Diceros bicornis minor: one gene and its partner. The protein of the gene in region 1 interacts with the protein of each later gene in a pairwise test. Links are inferred from orthologs where the notes say so. Each region holds a gene or a part of one and is shown on either strand. Other genes may lie near its edges.

The links. The genes of interacting proteins can lie anywhere in the genome.
Region 2: the proteins of TRAF3IP1 (region 1) and OLFM1 interact in a two-hybrid assay, tested with the Homo sapiens proteins (2 studies listed by BioGRID and IntAct). The link is inferred for Diceros bicornis minor from reciprocal best matches to the Homo sapiens genes TRAF3IP1 and OLFM1.

The regions. Positions count from the first base shown.
Region 1 is NC_080776.1:25,699,516-25,709,872, forward strand, and holds the start of TRAF3IP1 (TRAF3-interacting protein 1), read left to right. Parts: upstream 1-6,145; 5' UTR 6,146-6,224; coding exon 6,225-6,347; intron 6,348-9,620; coding exon 9,621-9,689; intron 9,690-10,112; coding exon 10,113-10,274; intron 10,275-10,357.
Region 2 is NC_080767.1:41,777,786-41,787,338, forward strand, and holds the start of OLFM1 (noelin), read left to right. Parts: upstream 1-5,469; 5' UTR 5,470-5,768; coding exon 5,769-5,918; intron 5,919-7,938; coding exon 7,939-8,088; intron 8,089-9,553. UniProt on the Homo sapiens protein: Contributes to the regulation of axonal growth in the embryonic and adult central nervous system by inhibiting interactions between RTN4R and LINGO1. Inhibits RTN4R-mediated axon growth cone collapse.

The DNA of each region.
Region 1 (10,357 bases):
AGGCTTGCTTGGGACTCTAACAGCAGGATGATCCTTGCCCTTTAGATATTTGAGAACCATCACCCTGTGCAAATAGGATGAAAGCCGTGGACCCCTGCTCCAGGAAAGTGCCTGTAAACAACTCTTCCGTATGTGTTTTCAGGGATTTAAGGGCGGCCCTCCCTCAGACCCCAGGCCCTCGGAGACCTTGGTTTGCGGGGATGCTGGGGGACCTGGTTTTGCTCTGGTTCTTCCGCGGGGAAGCTGCTCTGAGAGCTTGCCATTAGGGGTAGGTATTGGAAGAGGCATTTGAGCTTATTTAGTTCAAACCCTTCACTTTGCTGGTGAAATGGCTGAGGACTGAAAAGGCCAGAATTGACCAAAGTCACACAGCTAGTTACACAGGTAAAGGCTGCCCTAGGTGGCAACTATTCTCACTGCTGTTCGGGAGCCTGTGGAGGGACCAGGTAAACTTCTGTCTCCTAAATGACCCCGTTAGAGGCAGCTGTATATATATGGAGTATAAAAAAGGGATACAGTTTGCCCACAAGGCATCGATAAGTGAGGGTTTTTCCTAACTGAAGGTTTCCTCTGACAACTTTTAACTTTTGTTTTTGATTTAAAAGTTATTACTATTGAGAAATAAATCTAAATTACAATGTGGTATAAAGCAGCAGAAGAAATGTCCCATTATCCCAACTCCCAGATAATCTCTGAAACCTTGAAACTGCTGGACTGATTCACACATACATGTGCGCGCACACACACACACACACAGAACATTACTGAGATCAATTGTCTATGTAACATTATAGTTTGATTTTTTCATTTAAAATTGTGGTATAAGCAAACCATATTATGAAGAGCCCTTTGGAAAGAGCAATTTTGATAAGAGCATAATCTACTCAACATTCGGCCAATAATAATTGAGTGCCTATATGTGTCTCAAAGTGTTGAAGGTATAGGGAATTCAGAGGTGAGCAAATCACCCAGGCTTTGGATTCACGGAACTCACTTTCTGGGGGGATTTTGGGGTGGGGCAAAACAAAAAGACAGATATGAATACTAAAACTACTTTCGGAGAATGATAAGTACTTTATGGAAAATGAAGTAAGTAACTGTTGAGTTCAGATGTGCTTTACTTTTGTTATCTCTGAGGATGTCACATGTGAGCTGAGACCTGAATAATGGCAAAGATCCAGCCATATGAAGATCTGGGGGAAGAGTGTTATTCTTATTCAGCTAAAGGGACCAGCAAGTTCAAAGGTCCCAAGGCAGAAACTATCTTAGCAAGTTTAGGAACAGATGGAAGGCTTTGTCTTCTTTTTCTCTAGGGTTGGGGACAAGGCCTTCTATGCAGGCCCCTCAGGTTTCAAAAAACGGTGTCAGTCACCTCCCTGCTTAAAGGATGGAGCATACAGCCAGGCACTTGACCGGCTGCACAGACTGATGTCTGCCCTTCTGAGTCCTGTCTTGGACCCAGGGCTGGTGAGGCTGTCTCCAGGCTCTGGACCACTTCTCCTCCCACCTGGTACCTGCCTCCCCAACCCTTCCCGCAGGCTGACCCACATCCTGGGCTCTTCGCAGATGTGGAGCTCAGGGTTGGGCTAGGCTGGCCCTCCAGGCCTTTGTCTTGGGGAATGTTTGCCTCTCAGGCAGGGGAGACAGGGCCTGGAGACATCTGGCTTTGCGGCGCTCTCTCTCCTGGGGTGTCAAGACCATGGGTATCTCATTCATTCATTTATTCAGAACCTGCTTATTTCAAAAGCATCTCCTGCCAGCCTTTTGTGTTTCAAACTCTTTCTTTGCTGCAATTTTCTATAGTTATTTAATCAATTTTCTTTTTTTCATGAATGACTTTTTTTATGTTCTGTGCCTTTTCCTCTCATCCTTTCATGACTCTGAGGCACTCAAGGGTTATTCAGGCTACAGGGCCCCCCATCCAGCTTGTGCCCAGAACTGGAGGCTCCGGGCTGGCCTCTGCACTCCCCACCCCCGTGTCCTGATTCCAGGTTTCTTTCTTGGAGTCGGGACTCCTCAGCTGCATCTTCTCTGCCCTGCTTTCCCAGGGCCCAGACCGCCCTCCTGCTCTTTTGTGTGGAGGGATGGACTTGCCTAGGGGCAGTGTTGTGGCCTCAGGAGGACACAGTGGATGGCCAGGAGAACACTCCCCAGAGGCTGTGACCTCCAGGGACAAGTGTCCACTCCACGGCCACCTTCCCCCAGACAGGCCCTCAGTGGGGTAGGGCAGCTACGCTCCCTTGTTCCAGATCCTCTCAGACCCTCTCTCATGGCCCTGTGGTCCTCAGGAGAATAGCAAGACCTGTGCCCTCAGGCTTCCAAAGGGTCTCCTCGGCCTAGATGACCCCTCTGCTCTCCACAGTCTGTGAGAGAAATCAGAATTAGGCTTCCCCCTCGTGTGGCACTGGATGAGGTCCTCAGTGGAACCTCAGTGGCCAGAGGGCTCTCCACTGCCACACCTACCTTCCCTACCGCTCTGGTCTCTGGTTGACCGCTCACAGAAAAGCAGGTTGCCCCTACAGCCCTGGGCCCAGAGAAGGATTCTGCCTGGCATGAACTTTCCGGGGAGGGAGCTGGGGAGTGTCTGTCAAGAAGGCAGGGCACTTGGAGTCAGAGGCCTGAGTCTCCCCTCCATCCCCGCTCAGGCTGACCACAGTCATTTTCAGAGCTCAGAGGTGGCTGCTCCTCACAGGAGCTTCTGGGGTCTCAGCTTGGCCATGGGGAGCAGGTCAGGGAAGATGTCTTGGTGGGACACTCCAGCTCTCAGACACCACAGCATCTTCTGCATCTGGTGCAGCCCCCAGGGGCTCTACCTGGCCATCCTGTGAGAATGACATCCTACCCTCTCTTTCCTTAACACCTGGAGGGCAGGGAGCTCGTGTATCTTTGTCTCAGGGCTTCATCATTTCAGATCTTCGGGCCAGCCTTTGTGAACTAAGGGCCCAGCCATGAAGAAGTATGCAGTCTCACTATGTCTCCCCTTTTAAAAGCCCCTTGGGGGCCTGAAGTGGGGATGGGGTGGTGGGTGGGGAAGGAGAAGGAAGGGAGCTGACACCGTTCTCCATGTGAATGTGAAGTATTAGTTTGTGTGGGTGAGGATGTTCAGAAATGATAAGGCAGCTGGGAAACTATTTTAATCTTCTTTATGGGGTTTGATGAACTGTTTGAATTAATATTTGTTCTTGGGAAGCCAGATACACATGTGATAAAGATAAGTGTGTGGACAATCAGGAGAATAACAGGAACCTGGGAGCCCAGGAAGGAGACCAATTCACAGTGTCCATCACCCTGGATTGTTCTAAGGGACCCAGGTGCTGAATGCCACAGTGGACTGTCCTGCCAAGGCCTTGGGGTGTGAGACTGGACTGGAGAACCCAGACTCTGGGAAATGTAGTGCTGAGAGAAAGGGAGTGGATGGGAAGACACAAAAGCTTCCATGGGTAGAGGGTGGGGTTTCCAGAAAGTCAGGGAGATTTGACAAGGCAGGGGTCAGAGGATGGAGGTGCTCTGGCCAAGGAGGTAGATCTGGAAGCCGGGGAGCAGGGTTAACAACTGAAGGCTACCCGGGGGGGACTCCCTCGAAGGGTGCAATTTGCTGGGGGCTTTTTTCCCCATTGATCACGGCATAGTTGTATACAGTGAGTGTTGTCAAATTCCTTCCCTCGTGGGTTGTCACTCTCTTAGGCTTCTCTCAACCTCTCAGTAAAGTTGCCTACAGCCAGCCCACCTGCGTGGTAAATCGTGGAAAGAAGCGAGGTTGACACTGCTGGAGGGAGGTGAGCCTTGGCGGTTCACCTGGCCTCTGTCTAGGTGACCGACGCTTACATCATCCCGCATAAAGTTAGCAACAATGAGAGTGATGTTCCCAGGAGCAGTGGACAGCAGTGGACGGTGTGAATGTTGCTTACTAGAAGGTACATGGTTCCGCATGAAATCTGCAGCACCTAGACAGTACTCAGCACATAGCAGTCATTCCATAAATGCCAGAATGATACTTTATGGGCTATCTTCACCAAGTACATATGAATATCCAACAAGTATACAAAAAGATGCTCAAAATCACTAATCACTAGAGAAATGCAAATTAAAACCATAATAAAATACCATTATACACCCACTAGAATGACTGAAGTTAAAAAGACTGACATATCAAATGTTGGCAGGGATATGGAGAAACTGGAAATCCCATATGTTGCTGGTGGGAATGAAAAATGGTGTAGCCACTTTGAAAACAGTATGGTAATATCTTGTAAAGTTAAACATATTCTTACCATACAACCCAGTAATTCCAGTCCTAGATATTTACCCGAGAGAAATGAACACTTATGTTCACACAAAGACTTAGATGTGAATGGTCTTAGTAGTGTTATTCGTAAATAATCAAAAAGTGAAAGCAAACGAAATGTCCATCAACTGGTAAATGGATAAACAAATTGTATTATGGAATACTACTCAGCCACAAAAAGGAATGACATATCAATAGATGTAGCAACACAGATGAATCTCAAAAATATTATAAGACAAAGAATTAAACAAAAAATGTATGTACTGTATGATTCTATTTACATGAAACTCTAGAAAAGGTAAAATTATAATGACAGAAACCAGATTTGCCTAGGGCTGGGGGCAGGGGAGGAGGAGATGGATTGTAGATGAACAGGAGGAAATATTTTAGGGTGTGCAGGAACTGCTCTATATCTTGATCATGGTGGTGGCAACATAATTGTATATAATTATCAAACTGCATCAACTTTCACACCTAAAATGGGTGAATTTTATTGTATGTAAATAATAATCAAATACAATTTTTTTTTTTTTTTTTGGTGAGGGAGATTGACCTTGAGCTAACATCTGTTGCCAATCTTCCTCTCTTTTCTTGAGGAAGCTTGGCCCTGAGCTAACATCTGTGCCAATATTTCCTCTATTTTGTATATGGGTCACGGCCACAGCACGGCTTGATGAGTGGTGTAGGTCCTTGACAGGGATCTGAACCCGCGAACCCAGGCCGCCGAAGTGGAGGGTGCCGAACTTAGCTACTATGCCACTGGGCTGGCCCCTACATACAAATTTGAGCAAAAAACCCCAAAAAAACCCCACATACATCATGGACAAATTTATGAAAACCAATGATAAAAAGAAAATCTTGAAGGCAGTCAGAGACACAACAGACAGAACAAAGATAAGAACCACAGGGGACTTCTCTTCAGAAACTATATATTCCAGCAGCCAATGGAGTAAAACCTTTAAAGTACTGAAAGAAACAAAAATGTCAACCCAGAATTCTATAGTCAGTGAAACTATCTTTCAAATGTGAAGGTGCAATAAAGACTTTCAGACAAAGAGTGACAGCATCCATTGCCAGCTGACCTGTGCTAAAAGAAATGGTAAAGGAAGTTCTTCAGACAGGAGAAGCATGATCCCAGGTGGAAATCTGGATGTACACAAAGAATGAAGAGCACTGAAAATAGCAAAAATGAATGTAAAGTTATGAAGATATCCATCAGAAGAACTAAAGACAGGCCACAAAGCTTCCAGATTGCTAGAAGGACCTGCAGAGAGCCTGGGCATGGCGGATGGAAGACGGTGGGACGGAACCACACACACCTGGTAGAACAGCAGGGCGTGGCTTCGTCCCGGTTACAAAGCGCTGGCACGTCATTTGGCAGTTAGGGAGGCAGGCTGGCACATTATTATCCTACCTTCATAGGAACAGAAACGAAATCTCAGAGACCAAGAGTTACTTGCCCAAGAAGCCATAGTAAGTAACAGACAGGATAGGGCATTTTCTAACCCGTGTCTTTTGAGACAACTTAGTTCAGTCCCCTTGAAACCTGTGAAAGGAGCAACACAAATCTTGGAAGTCTGGAAGCGCGGTCACCTGTACCTCGGGGCGATTCCTGAGGCTGTCGTGAGGGCCCAGAGAGAAGGCGGGCGCTGTCCCCGCACCGGGAGGCTGAGGCCGTCCTCCCGCAGACCCGACCCAGCGTGCGCGCGCAGCCGGCGGGTGGTGGGCGGGGCGCCGGGAGCGTCCGTTTCTAGGGCCGCGCCGCCCTGGCGACCGAGCGCCGCGGCCCCGCGCACGCGCCTTGGCGGACTCCGGTGCACTGTGGGATGGAAACCCCAGCGGCTCGTCGAGGCTGGAGCGGGCGGCGGCGGCGGTGCTGCAGGCGGCCGGGCAGTGGGGCTTAGGCTCGGCGGGCCGGCAGGGCGCGGGCGCCGCCGCCATGAACGCGGCGGTGGTGAAGCGGACGCAGGAGGCGCTGGGGAAGGTGATCCGGAGGCCGCCGCTGACGGAGAAGCTGCTGTGCAAGCCCCCGTTCCGCTACCTGCACGACATCATCACGGAGGTGGGCGCCTGACCGGGGCCTGGGTGCGGGCCAGGGCTCAGGACCCACGGTGGGGGTCGGGGCCGGGATGCGGGTCGGGGTCGCGGCCGGAGTGCGAGTCAGGGCCGGTGTGCGGGTCGGGGCTCAGCACCCACGGCGGGGGTCGGGGCCGGGGTGCGAGTCCGGGGTCAGGGTCGGGGTGCGGGCTGGGGATCGGGGCCCACGGCGGGGGTCAGGGGTTCGCCCGGGTGGCGGGCTGGGGGTCAGGGCCCCGGTCCAAGTCGGGGTTGGGGGTCGGGGTCCGGCCTCGCGTCGCTGTGCGCGGCGCCTGCCCGAGGAGCCCGGCCTTTGGCCTGGCCTGCAGCCGGGAGGGGCGACCACTGGGCCCAATTCCGCAGTACCTCTGCGCGGAGTTCCTCGCGCTCATCCCTGCTCTCCTGTTCTCACCCATCCCCCAGGGCTGCCTCTTCCGGGGAGACTCCCAGCTCCTCAGGGAGCATTAATTCTTTCCAGCCTACCCGTGTATCTGTTAGAGCACATTTTCCATTTTCCCTGGCAGAGTTGTTTCTGTGATTTTTTTTTCCTGCAGTGCCTAGCACGTGGAAGGTGCTCAGAAATCCTGGGAGAATGAAATTATTCTTCTTTATACCGCCCCCCCCCCTTCCCCGGTCAAGTTTCCCACTGCACTGCAGAGCACAGTGGTCACCACATGTTGGATACTTAATAAATACCTGTGGGTGAATTTACTGAAGGTGGTTGTAGGGGGTCCCGAAAGGAAAAACTATAAAAGAGCAGGTTAGTGTTTGCTGGTAAATGGCACAGCCTGCCCTGAGTGGTGTTTGGTTGTCTGTAACTTTTCCCCACTGGATGGTGAATTTCTGAATGATGGAGACTGTAACTTCTTTGTTGGCATATCCTGGGTGAGCTGCACTGGGTACGGTACACAGAAGGTGCACAACAAACATTCATTGTTGAATGGACTCTGTCAAGGCTCCTGGTAACCCAGGGTGGCATCGCCCATTTCCATGGTGCACCTGGGGGGGCCGTGTTGAACCTGGGAACTCAGGCATGCTCTTTGGGAATTAGGAATCACGTTGAACTTGCAGGCTTCGGGGGGCTGCTATCTCACCCTGTGTTGGTCCTCAAACTTTATTTCTCACTCTTCTCAACAGGTTGGGCATCTTACTCTTCCACAAACTTTTCTTTGCTTGTTTCTGCCATCTTAATTTAGCTTATAATGTGTGCCTCTGTGCTGAAAACCCTAATTGTGCTTAAAATTCTCTGGAATCCCATCCACATCCCAAGGGTCGTCTTGACTGGCCGCTGCCTCCTTGTGCAGCTAGTGCAGCACTTACACCTGTCCTGGACAGTGTCTGGGGAAGGGACAGGGCTGTGTGCTGCATCGCCTCCACCCTGTGAAGTAGCGTCCTCCAGCCCAGGAGGGAACAAGTCAGTCAGCCTGGCTGACTGCGGCAATTGCTGCCACAGCCTCACACTTTTCTGTGTTAGTCCTGTCTCCCCGCTGAAACAGAGCCAGGGAGGAGGCGGGGGGACGTGCCTCATCCTGTGGGTCTTGGTGTGGGGCTGGGCTCACGGTGGCTGCTGTCCCCACCTCCTGGAAGGTCGGAGGGCATCTTAATGGAGGAGGAGGAGGAACATGCAAGCAGGAATTGGTGTGATTGGCCAGGTAGCCAGGCTGTGTGGAAGGAGTGAAGCGTTCCCTATCAGGAGCCACTCACCTGCTTTTCTTTCACAGATTTTTCCTAATCTAATGCCGAAATGAATTTCTCTACCGGTGTAAAGATAAATATGTTAATTGTCACCCACTTGATAAAGATATTAGGATGATTGAAATATTGGAAAGGATTTTTAGATAATAGGGGAAGAACCTCTATGAAAATTCTTTACTGCCCCTGAGCATTATAGTCAAGTCACCATATTAGTATTTTAGCTACAGTTAAACTAATTCTGCCTCTTTTATAAATCCAAGTGTTGATCTTGTGACATTAATGTCTCATCACTTAAAATTATTGCTCACAATTTTAATTGCAAGCAAACTGGGAAAACCTCAAAAGAGACAAAATGAAAAAGTTCCAAGAATGTTAAGTGCAGGATACTCGTAATATTCCACCTGTCTTATCAGGAAAAATAATGGCACAGCTCTTAAGTAGTTTGATGAGGAATGAAAGCTGACTTAATTAATAGCTAGCTGTAGCTTGGTGTCAGAGAAGGAGCCTGATATTAGCAGAGGGACTGTCTTCTTTTTTTTTGAACATGCAGTAATAAATATGCTCTGTATCCACCCAGGACATATTCACCCATAGACATATTCATCCTTACCACATACAATACATTCTAATATTTTCTTTTCTGTTTCATTTTTTTAAAATGCTTATTGCTACCCATTATGTTGATTTTACAGTGATCTACCACATTTTGAAAAACTGTGTCTGAGGGAACCCAGGGCCCTGGCTGTGTGTAGGGGTGGGGAGGAACAGAGAAAATCACCACCCAAGAGCTCGTTTTAGGGGTATTTGGGAGGTACAGGTTGACTAGGGGAGAGAACAAAAGTGATACGGCAGAGAGCACCCCTGTGTCCTAGGAAGTGAGCAGCACAGTGGTGAGGAAGACCTTTCCGTCCACTGTCAGAAACCCAGGCTGAGAAGTTCCTTTTTTTTCCAAGATCCATTCTCTCCACCAAGCCTGGGTGACCCTTGTAAGATGCCATTCCCTGCTTTTGAACCTCTCACGGCCTCCTCTTGTTCCCAAGACTAAGTCCGCATTCCTGAATGGCTTGGAAGGCCATCCAGGCCAGGCCCCTGCCTGACTCTGGCCTCAGGCTCCTCCCATCCCAACTTCCTTTGATCCTGAGAACAGGACCCTCTTGGCTCTGGACCTTGCGGGGACTCTTTGTTATCCTGGCACACGCTTCCTGAATACTCCCTCCCCCGACTTTTCTCCTGTCAGCCTCTGCTCACTTTAGACAGGATTTCTTCTGGGAAGTGTTCCCTGACGCCCCTCGCCCCTCCCGCATTTGGATTAGGTTCTGAGCGGGGCTCCCTTAGCACCCTGCAAGTCTTTGTAATGTTGGCCTGTCCCCACAGCCAGGTGGGCTTCTGCCTGGTACAAGGCTTCCACATGGTAGACACTCACGTGTTTGTGGAGTGAGTGAATGAATTAGATTCTGGGTGCAGACAGATTCTGACAGCCCCTGAGCCTGGGGTTCGGTGGATGAGGCTGCTGAGGAGGCTGTCCCGTGAGGTGCTGACCATGGCCTTGCTTTATCTTTTGAAGGTGATTAGGATGACTGGTTTCATGAAAGGCCTCTACACGGACACTGAGATGAAGTCTGATAATGTTAAGGTAGGTTTGGGGGAGGTTCCACCCCCTCGCCTTAATGAATGGGGGTTTTTATAAGCTGTATCTGTGGCGTGTGTCATTTATATGCTGATAGATGGTAAGAAGACAAGGTGGATTAAGTCGTGAACTGCTGTATACCCGTTCTTATTTCGTTTTCTAATTTTGGGCAACTACGTATCACGCTAATTTTACCCATTGAGAAATGGAATTAGTGTCTCTGAGGTTAGTGCTAGCCCATGAACTAAGATTAAAAGCTTTAATGAATTATTTTCCTTTTGTTATACAGAGTCAGTATTTCTAAATTTGACATACATCTAAAAATAGCTGTTTATATAAATAGGAACTGTGCCTGTTGAACATACTGAAGATAGTGCAAACTCTTTTTGAAGTATTTTAATATTTGTATTTTAAATGGAAATCTTTCAGGATAAAGATGCAAAAATTAGCTTCCTTCAGAAGGCCATAGACGTGGTGGTCATGGTTTCAGGAGAGCCACTGTCGGCAAAACCAGCCCGGATCGTGGCCGGGCACGAGCCTGAGAGAACAAACGAGCTGCTGCAGAGAATTGGGAAGTGCTGTCTCAACAAGGTAACACTGTCGCCCTGGGACTTTAGGCTCCGGGAAGTGGAGAGGAAGCTGCCTAACCTAGAGGGAAGTGTTTGAGGAAGGAG
Region 2 (9,553 bases), on another chromosome or scaffold:
AGGGAACAGGAGCGCTGCAGGGACGTGCACGGCTCTGACGGCTTCTGCTCAGGGGAGAGAGCTGTCCCCTCCTTTCCCTGGCCAGAATGTCAGGCCACACAGCCAAGCCCGACATCGGTAGTGGCAGGGGACCCTCTGCCCAAGGGAGGCACTGCAAGGCGCAAGGGGATAGGCCAGGAGGAAAATCCTCTTACAGGAAGGGCGCGAGGAGTGATAATGCTGTCCACTGCCATCCACCACCGTCTACCGCCGTCTGCCCAAGTGTACCCCCAGAGCCGCAGAGGGGCCACAATGAAGGGGACATTTGGATCGGACTGCCCGTGGCGGTCTTCCGTGGCTGCTGGGAGAGAGGGTTTGGGGGATCCGTGGGCTCCTCCCAGATGCCCGGCTGGAGACCAGGTCCTCTCCCTGCTCCAAGAACATTCCTCCCCCAGCAGGGAGGGTGACTGGAAAGGGTGCCTGTGGGGTGGAGGGAGCAGAGTGGCTCCACGTGAGGCCCCCTCCTCGCTCCTGCCCCCTCTTTCTCTCCCATCTCTGTTCCCTCCTTCTTTCTCTCTCCCTCCCTCTCCCTGGCCCCCCCCCAGCTATGTGCCAATAGCTTAAGGAAAATATGCATATTTTTAAACAGCAAAAGGGCATCCAAACTGTGTCCTTTGGGGTCTCTCTTTGCCAAGGAGCCTGGCGGACTGGCCCAGACCCCAGCAGGTCCTCACTCTGTGGACCTCGGTTTTCTGTTTGTGGACTGGACACACGCAGATGTGCCCTCCTCGCTGGCACACGGTCATTGTGGGCCTTCATTAGGTGACGCTTCACCCCCCATGCGTGCCTGTCCCTCATGAGAAGCACAGGGTTTTAGGCAGGAGGATGCTTTCACGTCATGTTGAGAGCCGTGAACCCTGGGGCCGTGGAGGTCAGCCTTCTTGTCTCACGTGCGCAGGTGGACTTGCGCAGGAGGGGGCTGGCGTGAGGACAGACACCAGGCCAGTTTGACACGTCACAACAGGTGCCCCGGCATTGCAGGCCTGAGCCAGGAACCGCGCAGGGAGGGCCGGTCTCATGGCCTTCCACAGGCTCTGACGAGGGCCTAGGAACGCGCGGGCAGAAATGTCTCTGGGGGGCCCCTGTGCACCGTGGAATTGTGCAGGTGGCGGGGTGTCTGTGGCCACGCGGATCACGCTCCTCCCGGGCCTGTGAGAGTTCACAGGGGCCGTGTGCTGAGGTCTGAATGTTCATGCCCCTGCCCTTCGTGTGATGAAACCCTAACCCTCAAAGACAATGGCATTGGGAGGGGGGCCCTTGGGAGCTGCCCCGCCCTCGTGAATGGGATTAGTGCCCTATAATGAGGCTCCAGAGAGGTCCCTCACCCTCCCTCCGGGTGAGGACACCACGAGAAGGCGCCAGCGATGAGCCAGGAAGCGGGCCCTCACCAGAACGCAATCACGCCGGCGCCTTCATCTCGGTCTTCCAGCCTCCAGAACTGTGAGCAATAAATATCTGTTGTTTATAAGCCACTGGTAGGTGATGTTTTGTTAGAGCAGCCTGAACGGACTGAGACACCATGACGTCTGGAAGGTAGATGTGGACCATTGTTTTGGACTTGGCCTGGGAACAGCTGGCCCCCCATAGGACCTTGGACAGGTCCTGTCATCTTCCTAAGCCTGAAACAACTCCTCTGTGGAGTGGAGCCCACGTGAGCACCACCCAGGGCGTCTGTGAGCAGTGAGTGACATCAGGCTCTTAGTCTGAGGGTGTCTGGGGTGCAGCCCTGCTCCATCGTCTTATGAGGGTTATTCAGAGTTGCGAACATAAGTGAGACTTGCTTCAGGGGGAGCCGTGTGAAAACTGGGATTTAAATTCCTCCTTAGGAGCACTTGGTGTTGGCTGCCACCAGGGATCCTTTAATCCAAACGCCTTCATTCTTCACCAGTCCGTAGACTGCTTTTGGAAATATCACGTAGTCTTCTAAATCAAATCATGACGTGTCAAAGCGGCCCGGTGTCTGTCCTCACTTGCGCGAGGCTTCTCAGATGGCCCTTCAGAAGCATTAAAAGCAGCGGTCTCTCCTACTGAACTGTAGACTCCAGACCTGCAGAGGGCTTTGGTTTGGGATTAGAGGAGTTGGAAGTGACTAACCCTGAACCTCCCAGCTGGTTATAGCAGCAGGGGCGCAGGCTGGAGTGACAACATGGGTGTAGATTACAGCAGCAGGGTTCCCACAGGTTACAGCAGCAAGGGTGCAGGTCAGAGCAGCACAGGTACAGGTTACAGTAGCACAGGTGCAGGCTAGAGCAGCAGGGGTCCCACAGGTTACAGCATCACAGGTGCAGGTTACAGCAGCAAGGGTGCAGGGTACAGCAGCACAGGTGCAGGCTAGAGCAGCAGGGGTGCAGGTGAGAGCAGCTCGGGCGCAGGCTCCCGGGTGGATGGGGAGCAGGGCCGTATCCACTGCACAGCCCTGTCCTGTCCACACGCTCCATCTGGGAGGGAGCAGCAAGGACAACGAGTCTATTCAGTTCTCTATAAACACAGACAAGAAATGAAGAGATGAGGACTAGGATTTAAAGGCAGCGGGTTGGGTGTGAGTCAGCTTTTCCTCCCATCACTCTCGATGCTTTGACCTCCCGGGGTCAGCTGAGCTCCCAGGGAACCGGAGGAACTCCAGGGCGCAGTCCACATTTGGCAAGCCTAGTGTGAGTAACCCAAAGCTGTATTTTTAAAAGGCTGCTTCTCAGCCATGCCCTTAGGGATGCCAGGATCCCTCTCTAGCTCCCCAGTGCGCCTGCAGGCTCAGGAGAAACAGGGGAAGGGGGTTTCAAATCTCCAGGCCGGCGCTGACTGCCCGTCCCCTGGAGGGTCGGAGAGAGTCCCTGGCCGGTGGAAGGGAAGGCAGGTCATCAATCCCTGGGGCGCCTCGCCTCCAGCGGTTCTTTGCAGCAGCACTTGGCTTCATCGTGGCAAACTACCTGGATTTCATTCCCTCTGTCGAGAACCCAGCCAAGCTGGCACTCGTCAAATTTAGAGTCCCCGTTGCAAATCCTTGCGGGACATTACTGACGTGAAATCAAATCAGAAGTTCCTCAAAACAGGAGAGTTGTTTTTTTTTTTTTTATTCTTTGTGTCTGCCCACCTGGGGTGTCACCTTCCGAGAACTGGGCTCTGGCTGCAGGGAGTGGTTTCCGTGTCCAACCATACCTCCTCCACATTGTCCATCTGTATCACATTGTCCATCTGTATCACAGCATCTCTTGTGGATGGTCTTAACCAAAAGCAGCTCTTAGGAGAGGCAGCAGAGGTCTCTGGGGGCATCGGAGCCCAGCCCTGCCCCTCGTGTTCTCACCAGTCGCTCACCTGAGGGTTCTCTCTGAGCTTGTTTGGTGTTCTGCAAATCGGGGATGACAAGGACTGGCTCTCTTATTGGGCACCAAGCCAGCTCCTGCATTAACTCACTTAATCCTCACAACACCCCAGAGAGGAAGGTTACTGTTATTAAACCCATTTTACAGATGGGGAAACTGAGGCACAGATGGGCTAATCCCCTCGGTCAGGGTCTCAGTGCCAGTAAGTGGCACAGCCAGGGCTCACCCCCAAGCTGCGGCTCCAGAGTCCGCACAGGGAGTGACCATTCTGAGATGCCTCTCCCGCAATGGCGTCTACTGGGTTGGTTGTAGGGAAGTTCACGCAGGGTGCCCTGCAAGGGCCCAGGAATCTGCTACTCTCATCTCGGTGTTGCTTCTGTCCTGGGGTTTAGGGCACACCGTGTCCGTGCCTTGGTTTTGATGTGGAGTCTGCAGCACAGGGTACCCCACATCCTGTGCTGAGTAGGTGACAAATGCCTGCAGCTTCTGAGACGGCCGGCGTGCAAGTTTTGTGGACTGGATTGGGCTGGATTTGAAGTTGTTCCGACAAAATAAGTGGTCGTTGTCCTCCTGCCGTGGGAAGCGGGTGTGAGTGATTTTGGTGGCTCCACTTGTGGCCCTGAATCTGTGTCAAATCCTCGTTGAAAGAGAGAGGAGGCAGAGCCTGGGTGAGGGCTCCCAGCCCCGCAGGGGTGCCTTGTGCTCGTGGATCAGGGCTGCTGAGGCAGAGCCTGCAGTACCTGCTGGCACTGGGAGATGGCGTCCTGCCCCAACTGTTGGAATTCGCCGCCTGCGACCTAGGTGCTGCCACAGATCTGAGTATTCATCAGGAAAACAAATCCGAGGGGCCCCTTCAGCCGGTGGGTCTCACACCCAACACTCCGGCTGTCATTGAGTCCCTTCTACAAGAGGGTACAGAGCACAGAGAGAAGCCCTAGGAAGGTGGGGTCCATCTTAGGTGGACACCAGGAAGGCCGGCTCCTTCCTCCCAACCCCATCTTTCAATCCCCAACCAGGAAGGGAGATTAATTATTGCCCAGGCAGAAAAGAGCTTGGTGAGTGATCTGGACAATTCTTTCCTTCCCAATGGCTGAGAAGGCTCAATGGAGGCCTGGAGGATGTGTCTTTCATCTTGGGTCAGAAGGCTCCTGCACATTCTAAAGCCCTATTAAGGGGTTTGACGAGTCAGGCTGGCTTCTGAGGAGGCTTACACGTCGTGTCCTGGGCTGGGGGCTTGTGCCAGCCTGCCCTGCCCCTCTGCCTGGGCACCAGACTCCAGTCCCCCCACAGGGACACAGGAAGCAGTGAGGATACCCACTCCTGCCCCCAACCACAGACCCCAGGTCCCTGACCTGCCCCACCCACATCACACTCCTCATGGGTGGGGCCCCTTTAGCTCCCTGCCCCTGCCAGAGCCCCAAACCTGCACCCAGCTCCTCCACTGTGTGCACACTCCTGGGGCCCCTCCTGCGTGCACCCACCCCTCACACCCACACCCAGGAGCCCACACTGGTCGGTGTTGGCAGCTGCCAGGAGATTCCCTTCCTCCCAAAGGCCTTAGAGCACCTGGCTTCCCGGGGTCCTAGGAGGGTCTTTCCTCTTACACCCCTTTCCCCTCCCCCAGTGCTGGGGCTGGAGACCCCCATGAAGGGCTGCTTTCGGAGCCGGCCAGGAGCTCGCCCTCCCGGCTGGGTTTCAAGGGGCGGCCCAGGCTGGCAGGGAGTGCAGTAGGTCTCCAGCAGTCGGGGAGCACCGGGCCCTGGGAGGGGGTGTCTCAGAGGGGTGCCTGGGCCTCGCTCAGCTGTCGGCCGTAAGGGTGAGAGGGCAGCGGCCAATCCGTGCAGCTTAGGCAGCCGCCCTGCCGCGGGCGGACTTTTATGACTTGGGTGACGGTGGTCCGTCTCGGCTGCCGGGTCACCCTATCCCAACTCCTCGGCGACGGGGCTTTGCAGATCTCGCTGCCAGCAGCCAGGGGGCGGCGGGGAGCCAGAGCGGAGAGGAAAAATCCACCCATTTCCTGGGCGGATTGCGTCGGCCGCCGCCCGACCGTGTCCCCGCCTCCCGGCCACGGCCCCAGCGCGCAGCCCGCGCCGCGCTCAGAGGCAGAGCCGGGCGGCCCTTCCCGGCGGCAGAGCGCGGAGGGACGCGGAGGGACGCGGCGGCACCAGGCACCGGGCAGCGGCGGGGCGGGCAGCGGCCGCCGGCGGCCACTCTCCCTGGCGCCCGGAGGCGGCGTAGCCATGGCCCGGGCGCGCGGGGCGGCGGCGGCGGCGGGCGGGCGGTGGCGGGCCGAGGGGGCGCGGGGACACGGCCGGGCGCCCCTGCCCGCCGCGGTGCCCGCCGCCTGAAGGCTGCCTGGGGCGCGGAGCCGGCGTCGGCGCGGCGCGGGCGCAGGCGGCGACTCGAGGCGCGATGTCGGTGCCGCTTCTCAAGATCGGGGTTGTGCTGAGCACCATGGCCATGATCACCAACTGGATGTCCCAGACGCTGCCCTCGCTGGTGGGCCTCAACACCACCAAGCTCTCGGCGGCCAGCGGCGGGACGCTCGACCGCAGCACCGGCGTAAGTGCGCCCGCCGCCCGCCTTCTCGGGGCCCTTCTCCCGCTCCCTCCCCGACCTCCAACCCAGGGCTGGGCGGGCGCCGCGCGGGGCGCAGGGCGCAGGAGCAAGGGCGCGCGCAGGGGTCCCGAGGCGGCTCCTCCGCGCTGCGGGGTGACCCTGCTCCCCACGCCCCCAGCCCCGGCCACTCCTCCGGCTGCGGTTCCCCGGCGACGCTTCCTTCCTTTGCCTGGTCCCCTCGTGGGGCGAGGGGAGCCTGCTCAGGAGCTCGGAGGCTTGGAGTCCTCGTTCAACTAAGTCTCTCATTGATAAGGTTGGGAAGCTGAGGCGGGGGACTTGGGGATTTGTCCAAGGTCACTCTGCAAGTGAGGGGTGGAGACGCCGCCGCTCCATCCCGGGCTGGCTGGTCCAGCCAGGGCTCTGAACGGAGCCCGCCCTACTTTGTGAAAGCCGGACTGAACCCAGCCCGGAGTGGGGCCCGGCCGGGCGGCGGGCTTGGGAGCTGGTGCCCTCGCCTGCCTGCGCGTTCCAAAGTCCCGAGGCGCCTTTCCCTCCCCATCCCCGTACGGACGGAGGTCATTGGGGTCCCGTGGAGGAGAGTGCCGTGGGGCCCAGGACGGGGCCCCCGGGAGCCACTTGCAGCGGAGCTCGACCCCTTGCCTACCGTGCACCCCTCCCGCCCTGCCTCTCAAATCGTTTCTCCTTTCCTCTCGATGCCTTGGGGGAGGGGCGTGTGGCCCGGGTCGCTTCTGGGCAGGGCTAACTTAGATGGTGGCTGGAGCGGAGGCTGAGCCAGAGCCACCCGTGAGCGCCAGGCCGGGCTCACGGAGGAAGGGGCGCGCCCAGGCCCGGCTCCCTCTGAGCTGAAAGGAGAGGTGAAGGACACGAGTGTCCTCGCCCGCTCCCTTCTGGCTGCCAAGGGCGCAGTGCTCCGGCGGGAGGTCTCCGTGTGACCCCCTCCTAAGAGCGTTCTCACGTTCACCTCACCTGCTGTTTCGAGAATTGCATGCACCGTGTTTGCTTCATAATGTCTCTGTTCCTGCTTCTGGGCCCTGAGCTTCTGAGGTTGGCAATGAATGAAATGAAATGTAATGATACTATGGACTCTCCCACCAACTTCTCCCCGCCCTCGTGCTAAAAATAGCAGGGAGGTGACCTGAGGCAACTGGGCAGGCTGCAGTGGGGGAACAGTCTGTGTTCAGGGGGTGTTTTCCAACAGCAGTGTCTGCCCTGTGTACCTGGTGGTCAGGACTACCTGAGCTGGGCTGCAAGGCAAGGTGACACCAGCCATGTCACCATGTCACCAGCCATGTGCAGCTCTGGTTTCTTGGTGGTCCTTGGGCACACCTCAGGACTGAGGTTGGGTGTGACCCCTGCACAACATGTCACCAGCAACTCGGTGACATCCACCAAATGGCTTGTGGGTGGCAGCCTGTGCAGAGTGGGAAGCCCGGCGTTCTCTCGGGCAGTCTTCGCCAGGCTGCCAGCGGGAAGATTGCTGGGGCTCAGGGTCGTTGCAGCTCTGGGCTAATAGGCTGCTGGATCCCAGCTATTAGGGCCCGTGCTTCATCTCCCAGCGTCAGGGAGCTGCAGAGTGAGGCTGCGCCGGCCACCCCTGCCTGCCTTACGGGAGGAGATCTTATTTCTGAATTACGTGCCCACTGTGAGTCAGCCAGCCTCTTGCTTCCCTGCCTCTGGTCACCCCTCCCTTCTACTTAATGGATCAATTTGGTCAGATACCAAAACTCCAAACATTCCTTAAATTTAAAAACCCCTTGAATTTAAAAAAAAAAAATGTAAAGAGTTGTGACGGTTTGACTCCTTTCCAGTCCTGGGGATCCTGACGGGAGACTGTCTCTGTTCCTGGGGTCCCCTTTCCCTCTTCGTGGTCAGAACGTGTCTTTGGACCATTGCTTTCTGCCTTTTCCCCCGGGGGGTCGGATGTGGACGATGCCCCCTGGTTTTGTCCCTGGTACACTACCTTACGGTCTCCCTTTCTCTCCCTCCCTCTCCCTCCGCCCAGGTGTTGCCCACCAACCCTGAGGAGAGCTGGCAGGTGTACAGCTCTGCCCAGGACAGCGAGGGCAGGTGTATCTGCACAGTGGTTGCTCCCCAGCAGACCATGTGTTCACGAGATGCCCGCACGAAACAGCTGAGGCAGCTCCTGGAGAAGGTGAGTCTGTGCAGGGTGTGTGTGCGTGTGGGTGTACTTGTATGTGCATGTGTGTGCCCACGCGAGCGCCAAGGCTTGGCTAGCCTGCGGGTCATCTCAGCTCCAAGGCCTCACTCTTTCCCGGCATGTCCTCACTCGGAATATTTGTAAATGAAGGAATGAATGGATGGATGGATAGGAGAGAGGCATAGACCCTCCCGGTCACTGCAGGCTCCACTGAGGAGCCAGTGGTGGTGGGGAGAGGGGTGTGGGGCCCCTCTCCCGCGACTGTCTCTCCAAGTAGCGCCTGTGATCTGTCATCCCGAGGGCTCAGAGCTGTCCCTGAGCAGCTGCCTGGGAGGACGCCCTGGGAGCCGGAAATGCTCGGCCACTGGGATTTTGCCTGATGGGGTCTGTCCCCCGCCTTTGAGCAGCTGTTCACTACTGTGGATGCCTCCCTGGTACAAAAGCAGATTCAGTTGTTACCTTGTAGCCCACCTGGGAACAGAAGTTGTGTCTACATTTTGAATCCAGTATTTCACTTAATCTTCACAAGAACCACATGGGGTTGGTGAGATTTTTCACCATTTCGAGAAGTGGAAATCTGGGTCCAGAGGTGGACTGACTTGTCCCAAGCCAGAAAGCTGGTCGGCAGGGAGCAGCACTCAAACCTGGTGGCCGCCTTCCCACCTGGCCTGGCGTTCTCGGCCCTCACAGAGGCTGCCACTCCTGATGGGGCAGCCGACTCACCTCCTGGCACATTCCGCACCAGGAAGCCTGGATTCTCCAATGACTTGGGCATCAGGGCCCCTGGGAGTTACCGGGGGGAGGAAGGAGATAGGGGCGGCCCTTCTGGTCCATTCATCACCCTCCCCCCGGAGGAAGGGCATTTTTTTTTTTTTTATTGATGTTTTAATGGTTTCTAACATTGTGAAATTTTGGGTTGTACATTTTTGTTTGTCCATCACCACATATATGACTCAGGAAGGGCGTTTTATATGGGGACACTTCACCCCGGAAAGTGGGCTCACACCACACACACACACACACACACAGACACCACACACACAGACACCACACACATGCAATCCACACACAGACACCACACACACACAATCCACACACAGACACCATACACAAATCACATACACATGTGTACCACATACACTACACGCAGATACTCACATACACACACACAGGCACCACACACAAATACATACACACCACACACACACACACCACACAAATACACAAAAACACACACCACGTATATTCCACACACACACAGACACACACGTATGCCACACACACCACACAAATACACATACACACACCACATATACACCACACACACCGGCTACACACACAGACACACATATACACTACGCACAGACACCACACACATACTACACACAAATACACAAATACACACCACACACGCACACCACACATACACACCACATATATACCACACACACACACACAT